3 linked regions of the Saccharomyces cerevisiae S288C genome follow. Changing the gene in region 1 together with any one later gene gives a genetic interaction. Each region holds a gene or a part of one and is shown on either strand. Other genes may lie near its edges.

What was found. Genes that interact genetically often act in the same process or in processes that back each other up.
Region 2: mutations in MGL2 (region 1) and TPH3 together harm fitness more than expected from each alone (negative genetic interaction), as found in Saccharomyces cerevisiae (2 studies listed by BioGRID).
Region 3: mutations in MGL2 (region 1) and ATF1 impair growth when combined (synthetic growth defect), as found in Saccharomyces cerevisiae (one study listed by BioGRID).

Annotation. Positions count from the first base shown.
Region 1 is NC_001145.3:684,939-690,050, reverse strand, and holds MGL2 (putative carboxylic ester hydrolase), read right to left. Parts: upstream 2,536-5,112; coding exon 1,186-2,535; downstream 1-1,185. Other genes in the region: DML1 (Dml1p), read right to left, coding at 1-968; YMR209C (uncharacterized protein), read left to right, coding at 2,767-4,140; ERG12 (mevalonate kinase), read right to left, coding at 4,253-5,112. UniProt on the Saccharomyces cerevisiae protein: Converts monoacylglycerides (MAG) to free fatty acids and glycerol. Has a preference for palmitoyl-MAG. Does not play a significant role in ethyl ester biosynthesis. Also possesses ester hydrolase and low but persistent TAG lipase activity.
Region 2 is NC_001142.9:403,812-408,569, reverse strand, and holds TPH3 (Tph3p), read right to left. Parts: upstream 2,983-4,758; coding exon 1,297-2,982; downstream 1-1,296. Other genes in the region: chaperonin-containing T-complex subunit CCT3, read right to left, coding at 1-1,012; MPS3 (Mps3p), read right to left, coding at 3,625-4,758.
Region 3 is NC_001147.6:1,044,237-1,049,099, reverse strand, and holds ATF1 (alcohol O-acetyltransferase), read right to left. Parts: upstream 2,875-4,863; coding exon 1,297-2,874; downstream 1-1,296. Other genes in the region: YOR376W-A (uncharacterized protein), read right to left, coding at 3,749-3,904. UniProt on the Saccharomyces cerevisiae protein: Major alcohol O-acetyltransferase that uses acetyl-CoA to synthesize acetate esters from various alcohols, producing ethyl acetate, isoamyl acetate, isobutyl acetate, butyl acetate, hexyl acetate, heptyl acetate and octyl acetate.

The DNA.
Region 1 (5,112 bases):
GTTAGATAATCCATTGTCTTTCTTTGTTCAAGATTGCTTTGGGAAATTGTCGCATTTATAGAATCAAATATCCTACAGCTCTTTCCAGCAGTTTCCCAATTAGTTAGTCCAGGAGCAGCATACAATGGGAAGTAAAGATCGGATTCTTGCATCATATTTATTGTGCTTCTTAATTTGTTCGAAATGATCGGGAGCCATTTCTTTGAAAGTCTTTTCATAGGGAAGTCATCTGTGAATGGATCATCTTCATTGTGTCCCCATGAAAAGACCGCCTTTTTAGGTAATTCATTCCTTAATTCCACCAGTAGAGCACTAGAAAACCCGCCCCATCCACTCTCCATATCACTTACAAGATTGAAGCCTTGCAGGGTGTCACATTTTTCCAATTCTCTATGCAAATTTCCATCAAAAAACTCTTGCAAGTAATTTTCGGTAAATTCGTCATAACCAATGGAATACCTGTCAAACTTTCGCTCCCCCAAGTTTTGAAAGTCAGGTTGGTTTGGATTTTCAGTGTCATGGTACCAATTTCTCAAAATATTGAAACTTGAAGGACCATAGATAAGTTTAGAATAGTCAGACCAATACATCGTATTTTCTCTGTTCAAACAAGGCAGCGGTGCTCCTGCATCTAGAGAACTCTGATATTCGGATTTAGGTATTCTTGGATGAGTCTTTATAACTGTTTGCTCCTTGAATTTGTCTTCATTGCCGAAATGATAGTCTTGGCTTTCTGAATATTGATATGTTCCTAGTGAACCATTACCTGTACGGGCATCCCAAAGTAAGGCACGTGGTGCATATGAAATTGTTTTTGAAACTTTATCTACAACCGAATTCAGAAAAATTTTGGAGTCATTGACTTGTTGTTCTTTAGACAATTGTAAATAGCCCTCTTGTATATTGAAGAATTGAGTAGTCAAATGGTTTGCTCTCTGCGAAACCGATATCGTTACTACTTCATGCATTTTTTATTCTTGTCTGCCAATTATATATGTAATTTTAACAATTAACCCTCTTCTTCCAAGGTTTTAATTCATCGCATCGATTATATTTTGTTCCATTCGAAATTTTCCATTTTAAGTTTGGCGAAGCTTTTCACGTTTTCATTCAGAAATAATGATGTCGAACATCAAAAAAAAAAATTATCAGGTTACACATCTAAAAAGTTGACTTATTTACAAACTAATTCGCGCGAAAGGTTGTGGCTATGGGTTCGCAATTAGGATCTGGGAGTTGAACATTTTCCAAGTCAGGTTTTAAGCCCTTTACAGTAATTTCGTCGTGAAATATTTTCAAAAATCTGCATAAGGGTTCTGCGTACCACCTTCTGCCGGATCTGTCTTTGAACCATCCAACATGCCCCCCCGTCGAAGTTTCTAGAAGCAAAGTGTATGGATTGGATTTTATTTGGTCTATAGGAAGATCACCTCCGACAATTGGGTCATCCTGAGCATGCAAAGCTATAAAAGGAGTTCTGATCCCGGGTATTCTTTTATATGATGAAGCATTCTTGTAATACTCCTCTGCATTTTTATATCCAAACATTGGGCCTGTCAACAAGTTATCAAATTGCCTCACAGTGCGAATCTTTTTTAAATGCTTCTCGATAACATCTTTGAAATCAGGGTTTTCTTCCAGAGTAGAGAGATGGTTTCGAACCATGCGTAGTAAGTTGTGACCCAAAGCAGGTGAATAAAATCGTGACCCCATTGGTGTACTGTTAATAAAATATGCAGAGTTGTACAGGTCAAATGGATTACTCACGGAAATAGCACATTCGATTTTAGTACGATCTGACTCTTCTCCCAAGTAATTTGTCATTATAGATGCGCCTAACGAAAATCCCATCATATAAAACTTTCTATTCGGAAATCTTTTCCTCAAGTCATTAACACAATATCTTATATCATTGGTCCAACCACCGTTGTATAATAGCGGCGTTGTAATTGCAGAATAACAACATCCTCTAGCATTAAACACGCATGCTTCAAAGTCATACTTCGTGGTGATTTCATGAACAATTGCCCTCACGTAGCTTTCCCTCGAACCCCCTGTTAATCCATGGAGAATAATAAGCATAGGCTTAGCATCGTCTGAGTTCAATTTAGGATCATCAGGGGAATAGTACGAATATCTTCGTTTCAAGTTTCCGTTAAATACCGGTTGACTTGTCGGCACGTATTCTTTTTCCACTTTTCTTCTTTTGGTACTTCTACCATTTACAGCAAAATCCACAGTCCCTTCTCCCCCATGTGGGTATTTGATTATCATTCTTTTATATTGAACTTTGTATATATTGTCAAAGTGTCTAAAGGAACCATATGCAGTTTGTAAATGGCCATTGACCAGTAAACCATATAAAGTGTCAGTAGCACCGTCAGCTAATTCAGGAACTTTAGTATCTATTAGCTCAGGGATGGTGATCTCTTTATTTTCATTCTCTCGTTTATCGGTGGACTTGAATGCAATAGGATCCTCAGGGACCTCTTGATGAACAATCAAAAAATTAGGTAACAATTCTTTTAGACGCATATCGTCTCTGGAAGTTTACCAGCGTTTGTATAATACAGTTTTAAAATAACAAAGTAGTTGGTTTTTATCGAACTTCAAATAATTGAGACCCTTTTAAGATCCACAATACTTTTCGGGGTTAGGTAAGAAGACCCGTAAAAAAAAAAAAACGTAAACGATGCTGTACAATTAACAAATTTTTCAGGAAATAGAAGAGGTAAAAATATTGATATACGAAGTTGAGGAGCGCCAATGGTTAGCTCACTGGCATCAAATATAATTCTAGCCCTTGTGGTAGTCCTGATGACACTGCTAAGGCAAAATAAGCCGTTGCAGAGGTGGTTTGTATCATATGTTGAAAAGCTATTATCAAGAAAATCAAATCTGGCCCAAAAAGTCAGCGTTTTATCGCCCTCCTTAAAATTGGTTGATGTTGAGAAATCAATATCTGCCGATCAATCGAATCTTTCTAAAATTAATTATCAGATTCCCACTCTTCCTGATCTTACGGGGAATTTAATCCGTTTACATGAGTATCGAGCAAGAGGAGAAGGCTATAATGGCCTTTTATTTCGGAGAGCAAGACAATTAAATGGAATTTCAGAAGATCAGTTGCAAAAATTAGGCTACTTCACCAAATTAATGAAAAATAATGAGGGTATCCGAGAAAACGCAAGAGTTATTGACAAGATAATTGAGTTCACTTTAGGGAAATTGATTCATTCCAACGAACACGATGAAGAATTTACAGAGGAAATTGAAAAGATATGCGCGGAACACGGCTATAAGATTAAAGATGGTCACCTTATTCAATTGAATCCTGACTTCGTATTTCCAATAGTTTCGTCTCGAGGCAGCCAAAGTGTGGTCCATGAAGCATTAGCACATTTGTGTCGTGATTTCAGCTCTTACTATAGTGTGGAAAGAGATCCTTTACAAAATTTTATCATTAGTAGAATCAACCATCATGTGATTAGTGCCGGGGACATGAAAGAGAAAATTCTTATCGTGACCCCAGGGGCTGGTGTGGGTGGCCTATCCCATACTCTTGCCACCACTTTCCCCAAAATACAGGTGGACTCCATCGAATTATCAGCCTTGATGTACATATGTAACCTATTTGCACTCGAATATAAGCATGACGTTAAGATACGTCCTTTTGTACAACAATATTCATGCCAGACAGTGTTTGATAATCAGTTGAGAAGTTTATCGGCAGATTTGAGCAAAGTTGGCCACCGCAGTAATCTGGACCCACTATGGGGGGACTTCACACGATATTCTCCCATTTCCAAAGACTATGATAAAATTATCATTTGTAGCGCATATTTCATAGATACCGCGGAAAATATGTTTGAATATCTATCCAGTATTGAAGCACTAAAGAAATACTGTAAAGAGCTGCATTGGGTCAATGTAGGTCCATTAAAGTATGGCACCAAACCCTTGGTCCAATTTACAGGAGATGAATTAAGTCGGCTGCGTAAAATTCGCGGGTGGAAGGACCTTGTGGAGGAATATGAAGTTGATAGCTCAAAGGGATTGAATGGCTATTTAACTGATTATGAGTCAATGTATCAAGGATACTATGGTCTGCTTAAATTTCATTCTGTCTTCGAAAGCTGAATTGATACTACGAAAAATTTTTTTTTGTTTCTCTTTCTATCTTTATTACATAAAACTTCATACACAGTTAAGATTAAAAACAACTAATAAATAATGCCTATCGCAAATTAGCTTATGAAGTCCATGGTAAATTCGTGTTTCCTGGCAATAATAGATCGTCAATTTGTTGCTTTGTGGTAGTTTTATTTTCAAATAATTGGAATACTAGGGATTTGATTTTAAGATCTTTATTCAAATTTTTTGCGCTTAACAAACAGCAGCCAGTCCCACCCAAGTCTGTTTCAAATGTCTCGTAACTAAAATCATCTTGCAATTTCTTTTTGAAGCTGTCAATTTGCTCTTGAGTAATGTCTCTTCGTAACAAAGTCAAAGAGCAACCGCCGCCACCAGCACCGGTAAGTTTTGTGGAGCCAATTCTCAAATCATCGCTCAGATTTTTAATAAGTTCTAATCCAGGATGAGAAACACCGATTGAGACAAGCAGTCCATGATTTATTCTTATCAATTCCAATAGTTGTTCATACAGTTCATTATTAGTTTCTACAGCCTCGTCATCGGTGCCTTTACATTTACTTAACTTAGTCATGATCTCTAAGCCTTGTAGGGCACATTCACCCATGGCATCTAGAATTGGCTTCATAACTTCAGGAAATTTCTCGGTGACCAACACACGAACGCGAGCAACAAGATCTTTTGTAGACCTTGGAATTCTAGTATAGGTTAGGATCATTGGAATGGCTGGGAAATCATCTAAGAACTTAAAATTGTTTGTGTTTATTGTTCCATTATGTGAGTCTTTTTCAAATAGCAGGGCATTACCATAAGTGGCCACAGCGTTATCTATTCCTGAAGGGGTACCGTGAATACACTTTTCACCTATGAAGGCCCATTGATTCACTATATGCTTATCGTTTTCTGACAGCTTTTCCAAGTCATTAGATCCTATTAACCCCCCCAAGTAGGCCATAGCTA
Region 2 (4,758 bases), on another chromosome or scaffold:
TGACAATGGTTGCACCAGTTACACGAGCAATTCTATTATTGTCTGATTTCTTCACTCTTCTTAAAACACTACATCCACCCTTTAGTAAATAATGCTGTGCTAGATCTGAAACACCTTTTTCAGTGATGACTAGTGTTGGCCTAACGGCTAAAATTTGTTCACACATTAGCTGAACTTGTTCTTCCTCGATTTGTAAAATCCTATTCCAATCTTCCTCCTTTTCAATTTCTATGTTGGTTTGAGATTCACCCTTCTTATATTCTAGTGGACAATCCAAAAGAACAACACGTGGATTCTCTATGTGACGGGACATCTTTGGATGAACAACATCCTTGTTCAATAAGACACCCTTTAAGACGCGAGAATCTAGAACATCCCCCCCAGGAATCTTCTCCACACGGACATATCTTTTGATATCGATTTCAAAATTAGGTTCACCTTCCACAGTTTGTCCCAGGTCTTTACGGACAGTCTTAACAGCGTCTAGAGCTAATTCACACATTTTCTCTGACCAATGTATGACATATTTAGTACCGATAGAGGCTTGAATCAATTTTTTCATAGCGGCATCATTTTCCACATCGACAGGTTTACTTACTTGTTTGATAACTTCTAGTGCATCAGTCAGTGCTTTCTTCAAGGCTTGGATAATAATAACAGGGTGAATATTTTTTTCAATCAAATAAGGTGCACACTGAGCTAAAATCTCACCAGCTAGAATAATAACTGTTGTAGTCCCGTCACCAACCTCTTCGTCTTGAGTACGGGATAACTCCAACATTGATTTAGCTGCTGGATGTGCAACATCAATTTCCCTTAAAATAGCGTGGCCATCGTTAGTCAACACAAGACCGCCCATAGGATCCAATAACATCTTTAACATAGCTTTTGGACCTAAGCAAGTTCGAATGACATCGGCAACTGCCTTTGCAGCAGTGATATTGGAGATTTGGGCCTGACGACCGGTAGTTCTCTCTTGAGAAGCATTCATAAATACCACTGGAGCTTGCATTGTGGCTTATATCACTATTGTACTTGATGATTTTCAACGTATGATCACTCGATATTATCGATGCTTTTTTGATATAATGCTCTCTACTCACTTTATTGAGTGGCGATTTGCTATTTTTTTTTCTTCGCACCATGCGTCACGTTAAACGAAAAAGTTTAGTATTAGGATGGAAGTATATAATATCACATAAGATTATATCAGGGTATATTTGGCTATACAGAAACTGTACCACAAATATATACACTGTATGTAAGTTTTTGAGATGTGGCTATATATGCGAAGAACTATGCAATGGGCGAAGTACTTGCGACGATAGGACGTTCGCACATAGAACTTTTGTATTCATGGGCGTTTACTTGCAATTGATTCATCATATTAGTCGTTTCAGAACTAACATTGCTTTTATCACTCAATGAAAATTCCTTCACAGAATTATCCTTGTCACTCATGCAATTAAGTTTAGAGTGATCCCTCGTAGTATTATACATGCCCATTACATCACTAAAGGTCCTGAAGTTGAGTTCTGTGTTTCTCTTGGAGACTTTTGTCATTCTTTCTTGCAGGTAGCTAGAAAATCTTGACATAGTTAAAGCCATAGTATCGTCAGTATCTTTTTCTTTCAAAGGATTAAATTCCTGGGTCATCAAATGGGCAATCTCCTCTTCAGCAAAATAATCCACTGAGGGCAATTTAGGTAATCCAAACATTAACGAATTTATATCGGTTCTTTCTGTCTTGAATTGAACTGGACGCCCATAAAGTCTTGCACAATCCATCAAAGGAATAATGAACCTGATCATTGCTTCCAGGTGATGTACGCCATGATGGGGCAATGGCCTAATCAAAAGCCCATTTGTACGTGTAGTGAAGTTAGTTATAGGCTTTTTTGTTGATCTAGAAGTTAACGAACTTACATGGGAGCTATTTCTTCTGTGCCCTTTAGGTGAAAAGAAAGTTCTACTTTTTGGTGTAGTGTTAGGACTTTCATTATTCAATGCTGTCGAGCTGCTGTCACCACTGCCGTTGTTTGCACTACTATAGATGGATCCACTATCCACCACATCATTAAAGTCCGTATCACTGCAAAAGCGTACATTACCAACGAGCTTTATCATTTGCAACCCTTGAAAAAAGTCGTTCATATTTTTAGAAGGTTCTGCCGCATTGATGTTATAAAAGAAAATATCTTGAACGTACTCATTGTCAGGAATAAAAAAAACGCAGTTCTTGCTAGATGTGGATTTGTCATCTCTATAAAACCGTATTTGATACTTTCCTTTAGCATCATTGTCACTACTACTTTTAGAATTATTGGTTTTAGACACTTTATCAATATGACACCACACTTTCACCCAACCTTGACCATCAAGATAAACTTCACACCAATCCTTAAAATTGAACGGCGAGTTCAAAATGATATGCATATCAGACATTCTCAGCCCATAAGAGGAAATCACTGTGCCTGTCAAGGCCTTATATATAGAAATGAACTCAAAAATAGAAATCATACACAACCTTTTGAACTTCTCCAGTAAACCAAAATCGTTACATGTGATAGATAGTTGGCCATTATTGAATTGCAGGAACTCTCCAACGCTTGAAATTTCACATTGGTTTATGTTGGAAGGGGAATCTATGATGGCCACGTCTGCGACTTGTACAGAGGAATTTGTGATAATTATATGAGAGCCGAGCAAAGAAATTGACTCTGCTTCAAAAACATGTCCAGAAGAATCCTTAACATTCCATACAGCCTCAGCGTCGGAAGATTGGAAGTAAATCTTATTTGCGTGTGCTTGCAGAAGCTTAAATATAGGTTTAGTGATGCTGAAAAGCTCTGGTGGTAATTCGAGGAAGGACCGTGAACTTACTGGGTGGCTACTTAAATTGATGCTGGTAGCACTGCGGGAGAATTTGGGGAGCGAACTCTTGATATTAACAGGTTTTTTCAGCGAGTCCAAAATGCCCATTTTAATTTTTTTTGTCTCTTGCAATAGAGTCGTGTTGTGAAAAAAATCTAAAGGCGTTGAAGTTACGTTCTGAGATACTTTTAAAAGACCTGATGATGATAAATATGCCAAGAATATAGGAACTTAGTTAAGCCTTCTTGCTATGTTATTTGAAACTAAAAAAGATGTACGTCAATAATAAGTAAACGAAGAAAATGGAAACGAGAGCAAAAAAAAACTTGTGATAGAAATGAATGAAAAGGGCTGAGTATTGAAACAAAACCAAGTCCTTTATGCTATGTCTTAAAATTTCCCTTTTTTACCTTTTTTTTTTGCAGATATTTCTGATTTTCATTCAGCTTTTTAAGTAGGGAAAATTTCCCGCAAAACTGCACGAAAAAAGATATTCCGATTTCCAAACGACTGCAGTCTTAAATAGCACGAGGAAATTTCCATGAGCTGTTAATCGCAGAGCGTGAGTCCACGCATGGGAGCAACATCTGAATGCCGTGTGGCTGTGTTCAAGGTTGGAATTCAGAATAACGCCAGTACCGAAAGAGAGTGGTGAGTAGCTGATTAACTCTATGATTTAAAGGGAGTGCCGTCAATCTGCGCGATTTTCTGGGGGCCAGGGGGTTAGAACGTTTAATTTTTTATTGTCGTTTATTGATCTAGCTCATCTTGGCCAAATGATGGGACGTTAGAAGCGGGATGAAACTTGGTACTAGTAGATGAAGACGCGTAAGGAGGCTTTGATAGGAGAACTTTCCTCTTGCCTTCGTCGGTGTTCTGAGTGACACCATATTCTGGGGTGTCACCCAGTAAAACAGGGAACTCGTTATTTTCAATTATTTGCAAATCCTGCGGTGTCACTCCGTTGATGATAAATTTCCTCAGAGATATGAACTTTTTGTTCCCGTAGTTCTCGTCCACTTGAAAGACAATTGAGCGTACGAGTGGTTTTAACTGAATGAACCATGGGGGCAGATACATTTGTTGGCGTATTCTAGAATCTGTCAACCTGTACTCAAATTTTGCGATCTTGATGTAATTTCGGTCTCTCTTGTGATGCTGCCCGAAACCGTATTGATTTGCCAATGTCTGCAATGCTTTGATCTCTTTAGTCTGTGACAGTTTTACATATAATGAGATCAGTCTTGGTGCTGAGTTCATTATATGTAGGTTATTAGTAAAACGGCCATGCATGTACGAAATTTTGGTTAGATACAAAGGAGTTTTAAACCTTATGGCCCATGAACACCCAGGTTCGTTCTCACATTGCCAGTAAGTTGAGGAGCTTTGTTTGGAGTCGGTCAGTAATTCTATCGGCTGTACCCCACTGCCCTGTCTCCAGGTTGGTGAAGTTAAATGGTTCAATAGTTTAGTACCTTGAACATAAGTAGCAAAATCTAAATCGTCCTCCCATTGGTGTTGATTGGAATTGTAAATTTGGTGAATTAATCTTTTCATTAATATGCTCGAATACTGCTGTGGCACGTTAGAATAATCCTGTTGAACCTGCTGCTGCTGCTGCTGCTGCTGTGTCTCTAACCTATTTGTGATCTCTTCCCAAATCTCCTGTTTGTTAGATTGCAACCTTCTGTTCATTTCTTGGATGAAATAATCCTTATCGATATATTGCAACTCATTCGAAAGAATTTCCTTTACATAGCGATTCAAATCATACTCCCAACGACTTTCAGCGCTTCCAGCAGTACCAATGCCTGGAGACTCAATAACGTCTGAAATCAAAGCACTCAAATAATTGTGCAATTCAGGGATTATTAAAAGCGACGA
Region 3 (4,863 bases), on another chromosome or scaffold:
AGAACACGTATGGAAAGCTTGCCGCAATTGTCATCGTTCTGGCTAGTTCATTCAACGTTTTAGGTTTCCACCCCGTTACATTTGCACGTTCAGCGTAATGAGCGTGGGTACTCGATGATTGTCGTTTGTTAAGGCTAATCTAGTTGAAAAAGAAACGCGTGAAAAATGTTATTGAAGTTTCTTATCCAATTAAGATTTCAGCTTTTCAGCTTTTTTTCTAGGCGCTCACTTGGTTCCATACCATTCTTTTCAAAAAGTCTGCCATGTAATTATACGAATACTGTGAATCTTTTATGATAGCATGCTCCTATTATAGATGTGATCGATGTCTGTGTGCTTCTGGGCTTACAAACGAGGATATGCACACAAGGTTCCAAATTGCCGAAGCTGCAAAGAAGCAAGCAGGCTCCTGAAGCACCGAATCAAGATCAAATCATTGTAGCGACTTATTTTAGATGAACTTTGGAAAGCGGCGTCTATAAAAGTATAAAAAAATACAGCAAGAAACCTTTTTAAAATCTACTAGCAAAGAGAGAAAGGAAATGACTACATTAGGTGCGATATCAATAATATCGAATTGATGAAATATGAAAATAAAATTTTATGCCTGGGGAAAAGTTCGGTAACATCAAATCAGTGCTTTATTTGAGTATCTTCCGCCTGTAATTCCTCACATAAAAAAAAAAAGCTTTTTACACCTCCTTATGCCCATGCGCCCACGCATTTGTTTGTAGCTTTGCATTGGCCTTGTTGGTCTAGTGGTGTAGGCGCCCTTCAAAAGTTGCGTTTCTTGGGTGGGAGAAGTCCGAAAAATGCGTATCCGAGTGTACAACGGTTTTTTTTCAGGGACAATATGCCAAGGAATACCGTAAGCAACGGCTGCGCTAATACATCCATTAAAAATATCTCTCCTTGCTTAAGGTCTCACACCCAAAATGACAATGAGAGTGCTATTTTAGTTGTTCATCAATTTAGTATATACCAGCTCCCACAGGACGACGATTCTGACCCTTTCTATTTAAATAGCTCCTTACATCGAGAAGATCTCTGCAGCTAATCAAATCAATTAATATTTCAGATTTGTCGCGATTTTGAAATATATACTATAGGTTGTTATCTATCATATGCAATGTTCTGCACGTTATTTACTTCGATCTGATCTTAAATCAACTCTAAAAAAAGAAACCGATAAGTCCCTTTAACCAACCAAAGCCGAGGGAGTGACAACATGAAAGTGGGTTATTTACACGACATAATCATATTGTCGAATAATATCAGTCAAGCATCATGTGAGATCTAAGGGCCTAAAAGGAGAGCTTTGTAAATGGAGCAAAGCTCTTCGAGAGATTCTTGACTACCAACAACATTCTTTGTTGAAGCAACAACAATATTCATCCCCTTTACATTAGTCGAACAAACACCCAAGGAAAATGCTTGGTGCCAGGATCCTTGAAATTGGCCAAATGCCAAATCGCATATAGAATATTTGGCATCGGGCTCCTCTAACTGATTAAACAGACCTACATTGCTTAACAATGTACCTCCGCGTCTTTTCCCGATGGCACGATCGCACATTACCTTGTCAATGTTCACATATTTTTGAACGAAGCCTTGTATATTGAACCCTAAGCCATGGAGATGCTTTTTATTTCTTAAAGCTTCCGAAATTACTTCATGGTAGTGCTCAATAAGTGGCCAAAAATTTTCTTTGTTATCATTCATGTCAAATTCGCTTATCCAGGGGGTGAAGTCAATAAATCCAACGTTAGCGCCATATCTGTACATCTGTCTCATTTCATCATCATCTGGTAGTTGTGAGCGGCAATCTGCGGGGATAAAAATATCCGTAAGCCATTCGAAGTTCAATGGTTTGAAAAATTTACCCCATTTATGAAGAGATACAAACCAACAAACATGTAAAAACGGAGTGATAGTACACTTACCTTGGATATTTGATTTAATATTTGCTTTAATCGCTTGAAATTCTGTTGGTGAAATATTGATGATCTCGGTGACAACATCATCGGTTTTTTCCACATCATCCATTCTCATACAGACACCTTTTGAAGAAAATCTCAAATGATTGTAGATGAAACCCGAAAGAAGTGACTTCGGAATAAACAAGTACGGTGGTCTAAAGTCTATCACCTTTTCGATCGGTTCTGGAAGTTTCCTCAATAATTGGTAATCCTCCTCGTACTTGAAAATGTAATCTAATTTTTTTGGTGGAGTTTTAATATTATTTAATTCGTCTCTTAAATCATGAAAAAAGTGGATCGAAGACCGACCATCAGACATGCAATGATTAGATACAAAGATAAATTTTTTCCACTTTTCTGTGTGCTCTTCTGGAAGACAAATTAGCCGCCAACTCGGTCCTGTTGGTCCAAAGTAAGGAATAGTCAAAGTGGTAGTAAGTTTAAAAATTTTTGCAGTATAGGAACCCTTACTATTTTTGAATTCTTCTAATATTTGCTTCATTACTGCACTGTACTCAGGTTGTTCATTGAGAACCACACCACTCAGTTTCAATTCTTGTAATACTGAAATATAATCATGCACTGGATGTGGCCGTGAATAGTATTCGGAACTGCGATAATAATTTTCATGATTTGGCCATCTTGTTGGTAGAACAATATGTAAAAGAGTTGGATTTTTCAGGCAGATTTCCCTCAAAGCTAATGTGAGCTGATCCCTAGTACAGTAATCACTCAATTCTCCATATGTGCAGAAGTTTCGATATAAGTTTTGTCTGTTGAGAGCAACATACAGATCTTCAACAGATCCCATACGCCGAGCATGCCCATTCTGAATCATCTCTTTCAGGCATTCTTGTTGCACGGGGGCCTGATTTTTCTCATCGATTTCATTCATGAGAGCTGATAAATTGATGGTATTTGTGATACTGATGAAGTGCCGTTTTTTATTTTCTTGTCTCGAATTTTTGTTGGGTTGGCTTCAAAAAGACGCTTCCAGAGATCCATAAAAAACAATAGGATTATATTCAGAGTCCGCTCAACGCGATGACAATACCAGGCCAAAAAATGATGTGCGGCAAAAAATATAAAAACCGTAAATCGCAAGCCAATGAGTAGTCCTCACACGCTAGATCTATATATTCGGAAGTGAGAAGACCATCGAGTGCATTGAACCTTAGCTCAATGTCCAAAAAGTCAATTCTAAGGGTGGAATAGTCCTGTGCCAACAAATGAAGCTACAATTTTCTGCTGCCTGGGTCCATAAACCCTAACCTTACTTCTTTGCATTTCTTCGGTTTGCACGTGATCTCAATTGATAATTCCCAATTCTGATTTTACTTGTCAAGTACAAGTACTCTAACATAAGCTTACCACTTCTTAATTATCCGGGTGTCAGTTTATTTTATAAACACGGTAATATTTTGATAATCTTTGGCAACTTTTAGGAAATACTCCTTTACCTATATACATCGCGACCAAAATTAGCAATCTTTTACGATGAGTACCTCAGAAAATACTGTTGAATTCTTTCAAGGGGTAGCAAAACTGTCCAGAGCTTATATCTACCTGTGCTCAAAATACAGTTGAAACCACCTCTTCCTACAGTGGTATAACATATGAGAGAATAAGCTATTAACGGTTGGTCGTTAACACCTCAAAATTGTATATTCCTGTAGTTCACTGTCAGTAAACTGAGATTGTTTATTTGTGCCATTATACCAAATTTAGCACCCTATGTGGCAATTTTTCAGATTTGCCACGCTTTTGCTCTACTTAAATGGAATGCAACAACAAAACTTTGTTTTAGCATCGCGGGATTGAGGATGAAGAGAATACTTATGCATCTCGTCTTGAAATACTGTCGCCCAAACTTCTAAATACGCTTGATTATACCATAAAATTGTCCACCCAAGATGGAATGTCATTACAGGAATATTTATGGCTGTCCTCCTTATCTTCACATTTGAAGGGAGAAATAGAGGGGCGAAAAGAGAAACTATTCGCCGGAAACTTAACGGTAATATTATAGATGTGGGGCTTGCAGTTACCTTTTAGCACCCAACTATAAGTGTATCACACCATTATTAATGAGAAAGTCTTAACATTCCAGGAGGTACAAAATATGACAATCCTAGAAACTCTGTTTGCAGTGCAATGAGTCCAAATTTTTTTTTAACTAAGAGGATGCCTCCTTCGCAAACTGTATAGTTTTCCATTTTCTTCTGCCATTTCATCTTTGGAGTAACTATTATTTCGCCCCTTTTGTTTGCTGCATATCGCCCCGCTCTCTGCATACACGATTGGATAATGACCAAAGCAAGGTTTAATACGCCCACAGTTAGATATCTATAATTTTAGAGTACGATATTCATCATCATAGGCTGAACCTTGCCTTTCCTTGCATTCTTTATTCCCATTGAGGTATATTTTAAAATTTGTTCGGAGGTAAAGAAGGATAAGCTTTTCTAGTAATTTCCCTCCTCGATCGGCCTCAGATTTCCCGTCATAAAATATACGCGCCATGGAGAGATTTAATGACATAGATGTGCCGCAAAAGCATACACAGCGTATTTTCTTTGAGTATTTAATAGGTAAGCTAAGTTTCGTAGCTCGTTAGTAATATTACTCTATGGATTCTGTGCCACTTCTTCAAACAGGGCGCGAAAACCTTGAAGAAGCAGCGCACTTGATGCCCCTAGTGAGAGTCACGTGACGGTTATCCCATTTAAGGTATTCCTGTTGCGACCCCTCTCACACAGATATATCTTGCGGCTAGAGATAGGTTGTGATTAGGAATAGATCTGTAGATGTCTAGAGGAACGGCTAATGATTGGAAACGTCCGAGGAACATGAAGAAAGACGTAAAGTGGTAGCAATTCCGCGC